Saccharomyces cerevisiae S288C: one gene and its partners. The gene in region 1 interacts genetically with each later gene. Each region holds a gene or a part of one and is shown on either strand. Other genes may lie near its edges.

Evidence for each region. A genetic interaction does not mean that the proteins touch.
Region 2: mutations in PEF1 (region 1) and QRI1 together harm fitness more than expected from each alone (negative genetic interaction), as found in Saccharomyces cerevisiae (2 studies listed by BioGRID).
Region 3: mutations in PEF1 (region 1) and SRP101 together harm fitness more than expected from each alone (negative genetic interaction), as found in Saccharomyces cerevisiae (2 studies listed by BioGRID).

The regions. Positions count from the first base shown.
Region 1 is NC_001139.9:601,422-609,666, forward strand, and holds PEF1 (Pef1p), read left to right. Parts: upstream 1-4,714; coding exon 4,715-5,722; downstream 5,723-8,245. Other genes in the region: RSC subunit protein RSC1, read left to right, coding at 240-3,026; LST7 (Lst7p), read right to left, coding at 3,352-4,080; septin SPR3, read left to right, coding at 6,142-7,680. UniProt on the Saccharomyces cerevisiae protein: Calcium-binding protein that is required for polar bud growth and cell wall abscission. Can also bind zinc ions.
Region 2 is NC_001136.10:273,962-278,538, reverse strand, and holds QRI1 (UDP-N-acetylglucosamine diphosphorylase), read left to right. Parts: upstream 1-1,957; coding exon 1,958-3,391; downstream 3,392-4,577. Other genes in the region: DNA-directed DNA polymerase delta POL3, read right to left, coding at 1-1,667; QRI7 (putative N(6)-L-threonylcarbamoyladenine synthase), read left to right, coding at 3,663-4,577. UniProt on the Saccharomyces cerevisiae protein: UDP-N-acetylglucosamine pyrophosphorylase that utilizes N-acetylglucosamine-1-phosphate as substrate. Together with AGM1, is involved in the production of UDP-N-acetylglucosamine from N-acetylglucosamine-6-phosphate.
Region 3 is NC_001136.10:1,041,960-1,046,653, reverse strand, and holds SRP101 (signal recognition particle receptor subunit alpha), read left to right. Parts: upstream 1-1,642; coding exon 1,643-3,508; downstream 3,509-4,694. Other genes in the region: mRNA-binding translational repressor SSD1, read left to right, coding at 1-1,014; HRQ1 (ATP-dependent 3'-5' DNA helicase), read right to left, coding at 3,693-4,694. UniProt on the Saccharomyces cerevisiae protein: Component of the SRP (signal recognition particle) receptor (SR). Ensures, in conjunction with the signal recognition particle, the correct targeting of the nascent secretory proteins to the endoplasmic reticulum membrane system.

The sequences.
Region 1 (8,245 bases):
ATAAGCGCTCTATAAAATCGTTTGTCTAACGTTTTATATAGTTCTTTATTGCTCCCTTACCCTCTTTCCGTCAATAGTGATTGTTGTCTCGGGAAAGCTTTTTTTTTTATTAATCAAAGGCCCAATTGAGTTACAACTGAAATTAAGCTGAGTTGGCGGAACAGTGTGGTATTAGCGAAGGGAAAATCTGTGAAGTGCCCTAGCTACAAAACAGAGATAAAAAAAATTATATTTCAAGCATGGTGGAGCAAGATAATGGGTTTTTACAGAAGCTACTCAAAACACAATACGATGCTGTCTTCCATTTAAAGGATGAAAATGGTATAGAAATATATCCAATATTCAATGTACTGCCACCTAAAAAAGAATATCCAGACTATTACATTATAATAAGGAATCCGATATCTTTAAACACTTTAAAGAAACGATTGCCCCATTATACATCGCCACAAGATTTTGTTAACGATTTTGCGCAAATTCCTTGGAATGCAATGACATACAATGCAAAAGATTCAGTAATTTACAAATATGCCATTCTTCTTGAGTCTTTTATTAAAGGAAAGATCGTGCACAATATAAGAAAACATTATCCCGAGGTGACATATCCATCTCTAGGTCGAATTCCGGAAATATTCGCAGAGAGTATGCAACCCTCCGATTTATCCTCGAACCCCATTAATACACAGGAAAATGATGAAAAGGCTGGCTTAAATCCAGAGATGAAAATGGCTTTCGCAAAACTAGATAGTTCGATCACTGAAAGGAAACCAACCAACCAAGATTACAGGATGCAACAAAAAAACTCACCAGCGTTTCCAACCCATTCTGCTTCTATAACACCGCAGCCGCTGGCTTCACCTACTCCAGTTGTTAACTATGCAAATATTACCTCGGCGCATCCCAAAACCCATGTTAGACGCGGTAGACCACCAGTAATTGATCTACCCTATGTACTGAGGATTAAGAATATCTTGAAGATGATGAGAAGAGAGGTCGACCAAAATAATAAGACGCTTACCCTCTGTTTTGAAAAACTACCAGATAGAAACGAGGAGCCAACCTATTACTCTGTCATAACAGATCCCATTTGTCTAATGGATATTAGGAAAAAGGTTAAGTCCAGAAAATATAGAAATTTCCATACTTTTGAGGAAGACTTTCAATTAATGCTAACAAATTTTAAGCTTTATTATTCTCAAGATCAGAGCAATATAATACGAGCTCAACTATTGGAGAAAAACTTCAATAGATTAGTGCGAATTGAATTATCCAAACCTGATGAAGACTATTTACCTGAAGGTGAATTAAGATATCCTCTAGATGATGTAGAAATCAATGATGAGAAATACCAGATAGGTGATTGGGTTCTTTTACATAATCCAAACGACATCAATAAACCCATTGTTGGCCAGATTTTTAGATTATGGTCTACTACAGATGGAAACAAATGGTTGAATGCTTGCTGGTATTTTAGGCCAGAACAAACCGTTCATCGGGTGGATAGGTTATTCTACAAGAATGAGGTCATGAAAACTGGTCAATATAGAGATCATCCTATTCAGGATATTAAGGGAAAGTGCTACGTTATTCATTTTACCAGATTCCAGCGTGGGGATCCTAGCACGAAAGTCAATGGTCCTCAATTTGTTTGCGAATTCCGTTATAATGAAAGTGATAAGGTTTTCAACAAAATCAGGACTTGGAAAGCTTGCCTGCCGGAAGAACTCCGTGACCAAGATGAGCCTACGATACCTGTTAATGGAAGAAAATTTTTTAAATACCCTTCTCCAATAGCAGATTTGTTACCAGCAAACGCAACTCTAAATGACAAAGTTCCAGAACCCACGGAGGGAGCCCCAACTGCCCCACCTTTGGTAGGCGCTGTATATTTAGGCCCCAAATTAGAGAGGGATGATCTGGGAGAGTATTCAACTTCTGATGACTGCCCTCGATACATAATCAGACCAAATGATCCACCAGAAGAAGGTAAAATAGATTACGAAACAGGAACAATAATTACAGATACCTTAACCACAAGCAGTATGCCCAGAGTGAACAGTTCCTCCACAATACGTTTACCCACTTTAAAGCAGACTAAATCAATTCCCAGCTCCAATTTCAGGTCCTCATCAAATACTCCACTATTGCATCAGAACTTCAATCAGACTTCCAATTTTTTGAAATTAGAAAACATGAATAATAGTTCTCATAATTTACTATCACATCCTTCCGTTCCTAAGTTTCAATCGCCCTCTTTATTAGAACAGAGTAGTCGCTCTAAATACCATAGTGCAAAAAAACAGACACAGCTATCATCAACAGCTCCCAAAAAGCCTGCATCTAAAAGTTTTACATTATCCTCAATGATTAATACCTTAACTGCTCATACCTCGAAGTACAACTTCAACCATATTGTTATTGAAGCCCCGGGTGCATTTGTGGTTCCTGTACCAATGGAAAAAAATATAAGAACCATCCAATCGACAGAACGTTTCAGTAGATCAAATCTAAAAAACGCTCAAAATCTCGGTAATACTGCTATTAATGACATAAATACTGCAAATGAGCAAATAATATGGTTCAAAGGGCCCGGTGTAAAAATCACAGAGAGAGTTATTGATTCCGGAAATGATTTAGTACGGGTACCTTTGAATAGATGGTTCTGTAAAAACAAAAGGAGAAAACTGGATTACGAAGACATTGAAGAAGATGTTATGGAACCACCAAATGACTTCAGCGAAGATATGATTGCTAATATTTTTAATCCTCCGCCGAGCTTGAATTTAGATATGGATTTAAATCTAAGCCCATCCTCGAATAACTCTTCTAATTTCATGGATTTAAGCACAATTGCAAGCGGTGATAACGATGGGAAAGAATGCGATACGGCGGAGGAGAGTGAAGACGAAAACGAAGATACAGAAGACGAGCACGAAATTGAAGATATCCCGACCACGTCTGCTTTTGGCTTAAATTCTTCCGCTGAATACCTTGCATTCAGATTACGAGAATTTAATAAATTATGACCATGATAAATTCACCACATGTATCTATATATGTTCATGCATATACCATATATATTTTGTTATTCATACGATAGACCTCAATCGTTTTGTTGCCTTTCAAAACGCACAATTGTAAACCTAGCTTACTATTTATCTATCGCGGTCCAGAATGGCTTTCCTTTTTAAATTCATCCCAGAAGCCACGTCGGAGTAAAGTATTCGGCCTTGATGACTATTTCGAATCGAAATGAAAGAATAAAAGGAACTAGGAGGTTGTTCCAACAATTTTCCATGCCGTAATTTCATCGGTTATTAGGTTACCAGCATTTATCTCAGTTTATTTGAGTCAAGGTAATTTATTTTCATTCATTACTGTATGGAGTAAAAATGAATTCCATTTATGTATTCGCACGAAGAGAAATTTATCATCCGTCAGAGACACCAAATTACGGCCGAATTTAGATTTGTTTGCACGTAAATATGAGCCAATGAAAGCGTTATTATTCAATGTTTCCAAATTGTTTTCCACCGTTTTATTTTTCCCCAAGAATTCGCTTTTATGAATGTTTTTAATATATGCAATCATTTTATCAAATCCACCGATGATAAAGTTCCAGTGTTCACTCAACATTTTCATAGAATCGTCATGGCTTCTGGAATCGACTGTTAAAATAAAACAATATCTTCTTTCATTGCCTCTAGCATTTTCATCATACAGTTTAAAGCCTATAACTAAGTTCAATCCTCTAAGATCATCAAAAAATATAAAAGGCATATTATCATAAATCATTGTTTCTTCAGAAAAGGCTCTTTTAATAATAGAATTTAGCAATTGGTATCTTATAGAAGAATATTGGGTAGTTATAAACGGAACATCTTCGATGAAGCACCGCATCGATCTAGTTGACTCTTCAGGAAACTGTAAAAGACATGATTCGCAATATGATTCAGTTGGATAATCAGGCACTAGTAATTCTTCACCTAGCGTTCCCTTTTCTGCGGATTGTGTAACTGATATGATCCTTGGGCCATGCTTGTCGCAGAAATGAGCCAATGAAATCACTGTCGAGGACATTCTATGCATCTATTTCATCAACCATTTAAACGCTAACTTATTTTATGGAGGTGCTAGTTAGTTGGACTTTATTGCTTCATTTATCGTTTGATGGTCATCGAATAGAAGATTCCTAAGCCCTTTTCTTTTTACTCAAGATTTTCTTTTTCAAGCGTGTTTTTTCTGGCAAGTACGAAAACGGCATCTTCGAACTTGGCGAATGAACAATCGGTTTGGTTCAACATTTCCAAGAACAACTACAACATACTATCAGTGTTACTTTCAAAAGTCTTTTAATACATTTGAAATGATATTCAGTGGAAGTGGAATGAAATAGGCCACAGTGAATAGGCCACGATACACACAGCATGTGTCATGCTCAATACCTTGCACCTGAATCTATATAATCTTGTAGTTCACCATTATATACATAACTCAGAAGAAGAAAACAATACGCATATTGGATAGTGCTCCATCGCTTTTAACAACTGATAATTTCAGTCATCTGGCTCAGGGTCTTGTCGATTTTTTTTATTTAGAAACTATCCGAATAAAAAAACCGCAGGAATACAAAGCGATGGGAATTGCTATTTCACTGAACATGTATGTATACCGTATACCGCATAAAATAACTATAAACCTACACCATTAAACGATGTGTGCAAAGAAGCTCAAATACGCTGCTGGCGATGACTTTGTACGCTATGCTACACCTAAAGAGGCCATGGAGGAAACTAGACGTGAATTCGAGAAAGAGAAACAACGACAGCAACAAATAAAGGTTACTCAAGCACAAACTCCCAACACTAGAGTCCACTCAGCTCCAATTCCCTTACAAACTCAATATAACAAAAACAGAGCAGAAAACGGTCACCACTCCTATGGTTCTCCCCAAAGTTATTCTCCAAGACATACGAAAACACCTGTGGATCCTAGATATAATGTTATCGCACAGAAACCAGCAGGCAGGCCTATACCTCCAGCGCCAACCCATTATAACAACTTGAACACTTCCGCTCAACGGATAGCTTCCTCTCCTCCTCCCCTAATTCACAATCAAGCAGTGCCTGCACAACTCTTGAAGAAAGTTGCACCTGCTTCGTTCGATAGCAGAGAAGATGTACGAGACATGCAAGTGGCCACACAGCTATTTCATAACCATGATGTAAAGGGCAAAAACCGACTGACAGCTGAGGAACTACAGAACTTACTACAAAACGACGACAACTCCCATTTTTGTATATCATCAGTAGATGCGCTGATAAATTTATTTGGTGCTTCCAGGTTTGGCACTGTCAACCAGGCAGAATTCATCGCCCTATACAAAAGAGTGAAAAGTTGGAGAAAAGTTTATGTGGACAATGATATCAACGGATCGCTCACCATTTCTGTAAGCGAATTTCATAACTCACTTCAAGAACTAGGATATCTAATACCTTTTGAAGTTAGCGAGAAAACATTTGACCAATATGCTGAGTTTATAAACAGAAATGGAACAGGAAAAGAACTAAAGTTTGATAAATTCGTTGAGGCGTTAGTTTGGCTAATGAGATTAACAAAATTATTCAGGAAATTCGATACTAATCAAGAAGGCATTGCAACCATACAGTACAAAGATTTTATCGATGCTACATTATATTTAGGTCGTTTCCTACCTCATTGATGAAAACCATTCGTTCTTTCTGGTCGTAATACAAATAGAAGAGGTAAACCAATCAATGGCCCGTTAGTTTGCCATTTGCTGCATCCTTCCCATGCAAAGTGTCTTCGTATTTAGTGATGTTTTGTTAGCGACACAAAAGAGACCTCGATGACAGACATTTTTTTTTCTTTACTTAATGTATTATAAGTGTGTCTGACCTCGACTATCATTATAATATTAATTTGAAGTTCTATTTTACATTTATATGAGTTATTCCATTACATAATAAGGATATCAAGAGCAGATTAGTGTCTTTTAGATTATACATCTTTTTCCCCCCTTTTTTGTTGTTGGTAGTGGAAAGAAAAGGATCAATTAACAGAAATAAATAAATAAATAATAAAAACCTAAAATTCCTTTTGCGTCATTGAATTTTTATTATGAAGTCAAAAGGGAGTCGGTTGTCAACAGACTGTCCTGTCGAATTTCCCAAGATAGTCTCTGGATTCGCTGAGGAAGTGAAAATACGTAGACAAAGTTCCCAAGGACAGTACGCCGTCGATTCACATCCTCCGAAAAGCCCTGAACTGAAACACAGAAGACAGAGGTCATCCTCTTTTGTTAACGGTAAATGCAGGAACAGGGACCTTCCATTGTTAGATAACAAGAAAGCACAAGAAATAAACACCAATTCACACGGCCAAGACATCGGTATCAAAAACTTACCACGTCAACGTGAGTTGTTGAATGCCAAAAATGGAATTGATTTTACGCTGATGGTGGCGGGTCAAAGTGGATTGGGTAAAACCACGTTTATCAATTCCTTATTTTCTACTTCTTTAATTGATGATGACATCAAAGAAAACAAACCTATTATTCGTTATAAAAGCATTGTAGAAGGAGATGGAACACACCTTAATTTCAACGTCATCGATACACCTGGTTTTGGTAACAATATGGATAATGCATTTACGTGGAGGACAATGGTTAACTATATTGATGAAGAAATAAGATCGTACATTTTCCAAGAAGAACAACCTGATAGGACAAAAATGGTTGATAATAGAGTCCATTGTTGTTTGTACTTTCTGAGACCTTCAAATAAGGGAATTGATACTTTAGACGTCGTAACAATGAAAAAATTAGCGAAGAGAGTGAATTTAATCCCGGTTATTGCTAAATCAGATTTGCTAACGAAAGAGGAATTGAAAAACTTCAAAACACAAGTTAGAGAAATAATAAGAGTACAAGATATCCCTGTATGTTTCTTTTTCGGCGATGAAGTTTTGAATGCAACACAAGATATTTTTCAAAAATATCCATTCAGTATAATTGCATCTAATGAGTACATTTTTAATGAAAAGGGCGAAAAAGTTAAAGGAAGACAATACAAATGGGGCGCTGTTGACATTGAAAATGAAAAGTACTGTGACTTCAAAATCTTGCAAAAGACGATTTTTGATTGGAATTTAATTGATCTTGTAGAAAGTACCGAGGATTATTATGAAAAATGCAGATCTGAAATGCTAAGAACTAGGCTATTAAAGGCCAGAGATTGCTTAACAACGAAAAGTGTTGACATAACGGAAGAACAAAGGAAATTTTTGGAGGAAGAAATGAACTTCGATGAAATCGAGGAAAACAAACTCAAAAATTACAAGTGCTATGAAATAATTAATAAAACGGTCATGGATAAGGTGGCTACAGAATGGGATCCTGAATTTATAACTAGACAATTAGAAGCTAAGAAAAAATTCAACGAGCTGTCCAACAGAGAAATTTCAAAATTTCGAGACTGGAAAAAGAGCCTATTCATGGAACAAGAGAATTTTAACCAAGAGATTGAACAATTGAATCACAAGTTGGAAAACTTACAACTGGAATGTCAGGACTTGGAATACAAGCTGTTAATCGGAAAAAGTTCCAACAGCCATTCCACAGATAGTGCTACTTTAGTAAACGTTCACATCAAAAGGTAGTATTAATTAAAAAAAAAAAAAAGCCAATAATTTCGCGCAAGCTTTGCTCTACATAATAAAAATACAATTAGGATAGAAATGAATATTTTTTTAGCGGCAGTTTTACCATAAGTAGCAAAACCCTAACAATACAATGTGAGACTAAAGTAAATCCGGGTAATACAAAATACAATTTTTTTTTATTCTTCACAGCGTTTTTTCGACGGAGGAGGGAAAAAAAAAAATTGTATTTAAGGCATCAAATGCGCGACATCATATACCTTTGTCCGCTGTTATCATACCTTGAACCTCTACATTTCAGCCTAGCGCGCGCAAAAAGAAAAAAAAATCATAAGCAAGAGTGGTACGGTAACCACAAGGCAATGCAAAGAAGGGTGCGATATCAAGTGATGTTACCTTCCTTTACTTTTTGCCTTTTTCTTGAATTGTCAATCCGCCCTTTTTTTCTTTTCAGTTTTTTCTCCTTTCATCCGTCTCGTTTATCATAATGATGATTTCACTTATACCTATATGTTTTTTCTGGCATCTCTAATGTTAGGATGTGAAGTTTAAGTACTCTCCATTC
Region 2 (4,577 bases), on another chromosome or scaffold:
TGACCACGAGCTAGTAAATATGAAAATGGCACACCTGTAACACGAGCCATTTCTGTATAGTTAACTAACGCCATTAGTTTTTCCATAAGCCTTAAAGGCAGGTAGGCGTCTTTCAAACAGTAAACGGCCAACCTTCTTCTTGTTTCACTATCGCCATTTTGTAGATCAGAAATGATGCTATAATGTACATCCTCCTTCTGTTCACCTAAAAAGTGCGCAGAGACTGCATTCAACGTGTAGGATCTTAGTTTATACTCACGCTGAATAAATTGCAAAAGATCCAACTGTAATCGGCCGTCAATATTGACATTTTTGGTTTCTCTTGTACCATAAGCCTTCGAAGAGAACACAGACTCTTTAATTTCTTGCTTAACGGTTTTTAACCTTCCAAAATATGGGAAATCATTCACCTTTAGCGCCTTTGCACGGTTTAAAAGATAAGGGATATCAAAATTTGTAGTATTATAACCAATGATAACATCAGGATCAACTTTGATGATAAAGTTACGCCAATTGCTCAACATTTCCTCTTCAGTGGCGTGGGAAAAAATCATTGAACCTGTTATGGGTGAGCATGTATTCAGAGTAAACACATTACGAATGAATGGTTTCTTAGCGCCAGCAATACTCACAACGTTGGCAATTTGGATGACGGGATCGTATTCAGGTTCCGGAAAGACGCCAATCCTACCAGCACACTCGATATCAAAGGACATGATACGCAATGGAGCTGTATGAGACCAATCACCCTCAGCAGGATGTGCTATTAGGTTACGATAATTAATTGAAACTTCCAACTGACAAGAGGAAACTCTGTTATTAGGCTCAATCATCGAATACTTTCCTTTTGGTAATGTTATCCAGGACATACCGACAATTCCACAATCTACCATTAACCTTAAAGTGTAGGCAATGTTATCATAAGTAGTCGTGCCGTTAGAAAACCACGAGTTGAATGAAAGATGACCTCTTTCAAACGCAGTACGCAGTTTGTTGACCATATGCGGATAGGTGACGTATATTTTCCAGAATGGTAATTTGGTATCTCCGGAATAACCCCAGATAGACTGTTTAGATACAACTTCAATCGAATCAATAGCGTGGTCAAATGTTTCGTTTAAATAGTGCACAAACTTGTTGATTTGCTCCTGATCGTTAGCGTCGGAAGAATTGGGCGCTGGGACGTAAAGATAGTTCTTGAACCCTGTAACATTACAAAGTACAGAGTGTCCTTCACTAGTGACACCAAAAAACCTTACCACGGTAGATGTATTTTCATCTTTGATACCATTCAGTACGCTCTGTTCCGCATCAATTTGTTGGAAAGAAATATCATACAAACTTGGGTCAAAATCGGTTGGAAGTTTCTTACGCTCGAATGATGACAGGTCATGCTCTTCTTGGTCGGCCATATCATGTTCCATTTGCGATAGCTCTTGTTCAAAAGTAGACTCTAATTGCGTACCCATTAAATCTGTATCCTTTGCTTTGAAGCCTTGACTATTATATTTTCGAAAAGAATCACTCGGAATAATCTCTATTGTTGAAACAGGTTCACTTCCAACACCATGATCTATTGATTGCCGTTTGATTTTCTTTTCCAACTGGGGAGTATCCTCGTCATCGATCTTCACATCAACCATGGGAAGGGATCTTTTTTCACTCATTGCTGTGCGTATATGTATAAAGATTAATGCTTAATAGCAAGTGCTCAATATCTATTTTCCTTTATCCTTGAAAATTGCCTTAGATCAGTAGTACTGAGTGTTTGTTCTTCATAAGCGAATAGCAGATGTCCTCATTGAACATTTTATAGAATAAAAAGTTACGCGTAATACGAAAAATTGCCTATTACGTTAAGGCATACTTTTACCACACAAAACCAAGATCAACCGTCAAGCAAGAACGCTGCAAAGAAACGCAGATATAAAGGAGAACACCAGATCGAACTGCAACTATGACTGACACAAAACAGCTATTCATTGAAGCCGGACAAAGTCAACTTTTCCACAATTGGGAAAGCTTGTCTCGCAAAGACCAAGAAGAATTGCTTTCAAACCTGGAGCAAATATCTTCCAAGAGGTCCCCTGCAAAACTACTGGAAGACTGTCAAAATGCTATTAAATTCTCACTAGCTAACTCTTCTAAGGATACTGGCGTCGAAATTTCACCATTGCCCCCTACTTCGTACGAGTCGCTTATTGGCAACAGTAAGAAAGAAAATGAATACTGGCGTTTAGGCCTTGAAGCTATTGGCAAGGGTGAAGTCGCAGTGATTTTAATGGCTGGCGGACAAGGTACGCGGTTAGGATCCTCTCAACCAAAGGGCTGTTACGACATTGGATTGCCTTCTAAGAAATCTCTTTTTCAAATTCAAGCTGAAAAGTTGATCAGGTTGCAAGATATGGTAAAGGACAAAAAGGTAGAAATTCCTTGGTATATTATGACATCAGGCCCCACTAGAGCGGCTACTGAGGCATACTTTCAAGAACACAATTATTTTGGCTTGAATAAAGAACAAATTACGTTCTTCAACCAGGGAACCCTGCCTGCCTTTGATTTAACCGGGAAGCATTTCCTAATGAAAGACCCAGTAAACCTATCTCAATCACCAGATGGAAATGGTGGACTCTACCGTGCCATCAAGGAAAACAAGTTGAACGAAGACTTTGATAGGAGAGGAATCAAGCATGTTTACATGTACTGTGTCGATAATGTCCTATCTAAAATCGCAGACCCTGTATTTATTGGTTTTGCCATCAAGCATGGCTTCGAACTGGCCACCAAAGCCGTTAGAAAGAGAGATGCGCATGAATCAGTTGGGTTAATTGCTACTAAAAACGAGAAACCATGTGTCATAGAATATTCTGAAATTTCCAATGAATTGGCTGAAGCAAAGGATAAAGATGGCTTATTAAAACTACGCGCAGGCAACATTGTAAATCATTATTACCTAGTGGATTTACTAAAACGTGATTTGGATCAGTGGTGTGAGAATATGCCATATCACATTGCGAAGAAGAAAATTCCAGCTTATGATAGTGTTACCGGCAAGTACACTAAGCCTACCGAACCAAACGGTATAAAATTAGAGCAATTCATATTTGATGTCTTTGACACTGTACCACTGAACAAGTTTGGGTGCTTAGAAGTAGATAGATGCAAAGAATTTTCACCTTTAAAAAACGGTCCTGGTTCTAAGAACGATAATCCTGAGACCAGCAGACTAGCATATTTGAAACTAGGAACCTCGTGGTTGGAAGATGCAGGCGCTATTGTAAAAGATGGGGTACTAGTCGAAGTTTCCAGCAAATTGAGTTATGCAGGTGAAAATCTATCCCAGTTCAAAGGTAAAGTCTTTGACAGAAGTGGTATAGTATTAGAAAAATAACTGTTTGAGCTACTTATGAAGCACTTTTAACATGTAATTGAAAAGTACTCGTAATTGTGATTCAATATATATAATAAAATATTTCGTACTCTGAAAAATAGCTAAATTACTTGTTTTATGTAATTTCTATTTGGCGGATCCGCTCTGCCAATGGAAAGAGTGGCATCTTCATTGCGCGATGATTAATTGACAATGAAATTAAAGCAAACAGCGATTCTCAAGCTCTGAAATAAGTAGAGTAGAAGAAAGGATAGAAACTTTTTTTTTCATTATGATATCAATAAAAGGAACCGGAAGATTTCTCCTCGATAACTATAGAATTTGGCAGAGGCGTGCATTCAACAGACCAATACAGTTAAGAAAAGGCTATAAAGTTTTAGCCATTGAGACTTCTTGCGATGATACATGCGTTTCAGTTTTGGACAGGTTCTCAAAAAGTGCAGCTCCTAATGTGCTAGCCAATTTGAAAGATACTTTAGATAGTATTGACGAAGGAGGTATTATACCAACAAAGGCTCATATCCATCACCAAGCTCGGATAGGACCCTTAACCGAAAGAGCCCTGATAGAAAGCAATGCGAGAGAAGGAATTGATCTCATATGTGTTACAAGAGGCCCTGGTATGCCTGGTTCATTATCAGGAGGATTAGATTTTGCAAAAGGTTTAGCTGTTGCCTGGAACAAACCACTGATTGGTGTGCATCACATGCTGGGACACTTGCTGATACCAAGAATGGGTACAAATGGAAAAGTGCCTCAATTTCCCTTTGTTAGCCTGCTGGTTAGTGGTGGTCATACTACGTTTGTTTTGTCACGAGCAATTGACGATCACGAAATATTATGTGATACTATCGATATTGCAGTGGGTGACTCATTAGATAAATGTGGCAGAGAGCTTGGATTCAAGGGAACAATGATCGCTAGAGAAATGGAGAAATTTATTAATCAAGATATTAACGACCAAGATTTTGCTTTAAAACTAGAAATGCCCAGTCCGTTAAAAAACAGCGCTAGTAAAAGAAACATGCTTTCGTTTTCGTTTTCAGCATTTATCACAGCATTAAGAACTAATTTGACAAAACTAGGTAAAACAGAAATCCAGGAACTGCCAGAACGCGAAATACGGTCAATTGCATATCAAGTACAGGAATCTGTTTTCGACCATATAATAAATAAACTGAAGCAC
Region 3 (4,694 bases), on another chromosome or scaffold:
CCCATTGCAACCAAGATGGCGTCATTTAGAAAGAAAATTCAAAATTTTGGTTACAATTTTGATACCAATACGGCGGATGAATTAATCAAAGGGGTGCTAAAAATTAAAGATGACGATGTTAGAGTCGGAATTGAAATTTTACTGTTTAAAACCATGCCAAGAGCTAGATACTTTATTGCTGGCAAAGTAGACCCGGACCAATATGGGCATTATGCCTTGAACCTACCTATCTACACACATTTCACAGCGCCAATGAGAAGATACGCTGATCATGTCGTTCATAGGCAATTAAAGGCCGTTATCCACGATACTCCATACACCGAAGATATGGAAGCTTTGAAGATTACCTCCGAATATTGTAATTTTAAAAAGGACTGTGCTTATCAAGCACAGGAACAAGCAATTCATCTATTGTTGTGTAAAACAATCAACGACATGGGAAATACTACAGGACAATTATTAACAATGGCTACTGTCTTACAAGTTTACGAGTCCTCCTTTGATGTATTTATTCCAGAATTTGGTATTGAAAAGAGAGTTCATGGAGATCAACTACCTTTGATCAAAGCTGAGTTTGATGGTACCAATCGTGTCTTGGAATTGCATTGGCAGCCCGGCGTAGATAGTGCAACTTTTATACCAGCAGATGAAAAAAATCCAAAATCCTATAGAAATTCCATTAAGAACAAATTCAGATCCACAGCCGCTGAGATTGCGAATATTGAACTAGATAAAGAAGCGGAATCTGAACCATTGATCAGCGATCCATTGAGTAAGGAACTCAGCGATTTGCATCTAACAGTACCAAATTTAAGGCTACCATCTGCAAGCGACAACAAGCAAAATGCTTTAGAAAAATTCATTTCTACTACTGAAACCAGAATTGAAAATGATAACTATATACAAGAAATACATGAATTGCAAAAGATTCCTATTCTATTGAGAGCTGAGGTGGGGATGGCTTTGCCATGTTTAACCGTCCGTGCATTAAATCCATTCATGAAGAGGGTATAATCTCTTCTACCAATATCGTCATTGCTGTTTTTCTTGTTTTTCACTTTCGTTCTTTGGATTGTGCTTCACCCCTCAGTATCCCTTCCCTTTGTTTTTATTTCCTGCGAACATTAACAACTGCATGAATTTTGTACTTCTCCTTTTAATCCACGTTCCGGTAAGGCATCATCCAAATTTTTTTATTCGACCTCGTTAAGTCATATATTTTTTCCCAAAAATACATAAAACAATAATGCAGCCTTCTTTTCAATATTTACAACTTTTCAATTTATATTGTCTTTTGTTATTTATACTCTTATATATTAAATTTATTCCGTTACTAAATACCCTTTTGCTGTACAAATATCATCAAAGAGAAGTACTGAAAGCTTACTTTTTATGCGCTGGGTAATTTTTCCGGAAACAATAACGAAATCATCGTCGAGCAATTTTGCTCGTACTTCAGAAACTACTGCGTAAACATTTGAGGTCGTACAATAAGTAGATAGAAATAAATAAACCAATTTTTCGTCAGCGTTTAATCTGTAGCCAAAGATTTGTGGTATTCTCACAGTTTGAATAATATTCAGCTACTTCATCAAGTAGTTTTTTTCAATAGGAGATTCACGGTTCAATAAGTGCATTGATTATGTTCGACCAATTAGCAGTCTTTACCCCTCAAGGTCAAGTACTTTACCAATATAACTGTTTAGGAAAAAAGTTTTCTGAAATACAAATTAACAGCTTTATATCCCAGCTGATTACTTCCCCAGTAACTAGAAAAGAAAGTGTTGCAAACGCAAATACAGACGGATTTGATTTCAATCTTTTAACAATCAACAGCGAACACAAAAATTCTCCTTCATTTAATGCACTATTTTATTTGAATAAGCAACCAGAATTGTATTTCGTAGTGACTTTTGCCGAGCAGACTTTAGAGCTTAATCAAGAAACTCAACAAACACTTGCACTGGTGTTAAAACTCTGGAACTCATTGCATTTAAGTGAATCCATTCTAAAAAATCGTCAGGGCCAAAACGAAAAGAACAAGCATAACTACGTCGATATTCTTCAGGGAATTGAAGACGACCTGAAGAAATTTGAGCAATATTTTAGGATAAAATATGAAGAGTCAATAAAACAAGACCATATCAATCCAGATAATTTTACCAAAAATGGATCAGTACCCCAATCGCATAATAAAAATACCAAGAAAAAATTGAGGGATACAAAAGGTAAGAAGCAATCTACAGGAAATGTTGGTAGTGGGAGAAAGTGGGGCCGTGATGGTGGCATGCTTGATGAAATGAATCATGAAGATGCAGCCAAATTAGATTTCTCATCATCCAACAGCCACAATAGTAGCCAAGTAGCTCTAGACTCCACTATTAATAAAGATTCTTTTGGGGATAGAACAGAAGGAGGCGATTTCTTAATCAAAGAAATTGATGATCTTTTGTCTTCTCATAAAGACGAGATAACTAGTGGGAACGAAGCTAAAAATTCTGGATACGTCAGTACAGCTTTTGGATTCCTTCAAAAACACGTTCTAGGTAACAAAACGATCAATGAAAGTGATTTGAAATCTGTATTAGAGAAGTTAACACAACAATTGATAACCAAAAATGTAGCACCAGAGGCAGCAGACTATTTAACACAGCAAGTCTCACATGATCTTGTAGGCTCAAAAACTGCAAATTGGACCAGTGTTGAGAATACTGCTCGTGAATCTTTAACAAAAGCATTAACTCAAATATTAACGCCTGGTGTATCCGTTGATCTCCTCCGTGAAATTCAGAGCAAAAGAAGCAAAAAGGATGAAGAAGGTAAATGTGATCCCTATGTGTTCTCTATAGTTGGTGTTAATGGTGTTGGTAAGTCAACAAATCTTTCAAAGCTAGCGTTTTGGTTACTGCAAAATAATTTCAAGGTCTTAATTGTTGCTTGTGATACGTTTAGGTCTGGTGCAGTTGAGCAACTAAGGGTCCATGTTGAAAATTTGGCACAGCTAATGGATGATTCACACGTTCGTGGCTCCAAGAACAAAAGGGGTAAAACTGGTAATGACTACGTTGAACTATTTGAAGCTGGTTATGGTGGATCTGACTTGGTAACCAAAATTGCAAAGCAAGCCATCAAATATTCTCGTGATCAAAACTTCGATATAGTGTTAATGGATACTGCCGGGAGAAGGCATAATGATCCTACTTTAATGTCGCCATTGAAGTCTTTCGCTGACCAAGCCAAGCCAGATAAAATCATTATGGTTGGAGAGGCTTTAGTAGGTACTGATTCTGTCCAGCAAGCCAAAAATTTTAATGATGCCTTCGGAAAGGGAAGAAATCTTGACTTCTTTATTATCTCCAAGTGTGACACAGTTGGTGAAATGCTGGGTACTATGGTAAATATGGTTTATGCTACGGGGATTCCTATCTTATTCGTTGGCGTGGGACAAACCTATACCGATTTGAGGACATTAAGCGTAAAATGGGCTGTTAATACATTAATGTCTTAAAAACTGTAATATCATAGTATATATATATATACCACAGACAATGTTATTCAACAATAATAAAGTGTCTTTTTTTCTGTGCATCAACAAGGTGACAGAATGTTGATGTAACTTCTTTCCACCAAGTGAATCTACAAGTAGTAGAATAGAGTATTTATATTCGGTTTACAAACTACAAATAGCGTGCTCATATCTCTTTTTTAATGATTTCATTTGTATGAGTATCGTCTTTCGTAGCTCTTCTAACGTCAATAATCTTAAAATCATCTGAAAAGTTGACATGCTCTGACACAGGAATAACAGTCTCTACTTTTATCTCTGGCATATTTGGCTCTGGACCATCTTTGATAAGATCTATAAAACTATCTTCCGAGTGACCTAGAATACAATGCAAAACGACTTGGGCGCCAGGTTTCGACAGGACCAGGCTGTTTTCCTTACAAAAAGAAGCCGCTACACAGTCAGGACATCCATCGCTGCATGGGCATTCTTCTATTCTTCTTAAACTAGACTCTATAATATCATCAATATGCTCAAACGCTTTAACACACAAGCCAGACCCGTACTTACCGCCCTTGGAATCATAGAATATTAATCTAGCTGGTCGCTTTCGTTTAGTTTGACGTTCTGCAAATTCCTTTTCCGGAGCTTTGCATTCAGTTTGTATTTCATCCACACCCGCCACTATAAATCGCGGTAACATACCCATAATTGCATGTTGCGCCCCGTGAATAGCTCCTGCTACATTTAATTGCTTCTTTTGGCAAATTTCTAAGGCATATTTTGGCATATCTATCCATAATCCTTTAGAATTGATTATTACAGGAGGGTTATGGGTTTCGATGGCATCGATGATCCTCTTGTACTTGTCTACTTTAAAAAAGCCAAATACAATAATTGTAGTCTTGATCTTACCAAAGTAAACAGGAACATCACTATTCCTTAAAGAGCGTATAAGTTCAATTTCCTGTGGATCTACATCTGTAAAGTCTCTTTGGTTGGTTACCCAGTCAACATCTACTCTTTGCACTTTAGCATATCTTTCATCAGGATTAAACTCCTTCACAAGGTAGGGATAGCCTTGGTGAATGAATATACCGCCATCATATAAAGTAAAACTAGTCCTGGATGCTTCTATTTCCTCAATTATTATATTTCTTCCATTTGTTATATCCACTACGGCAAATTG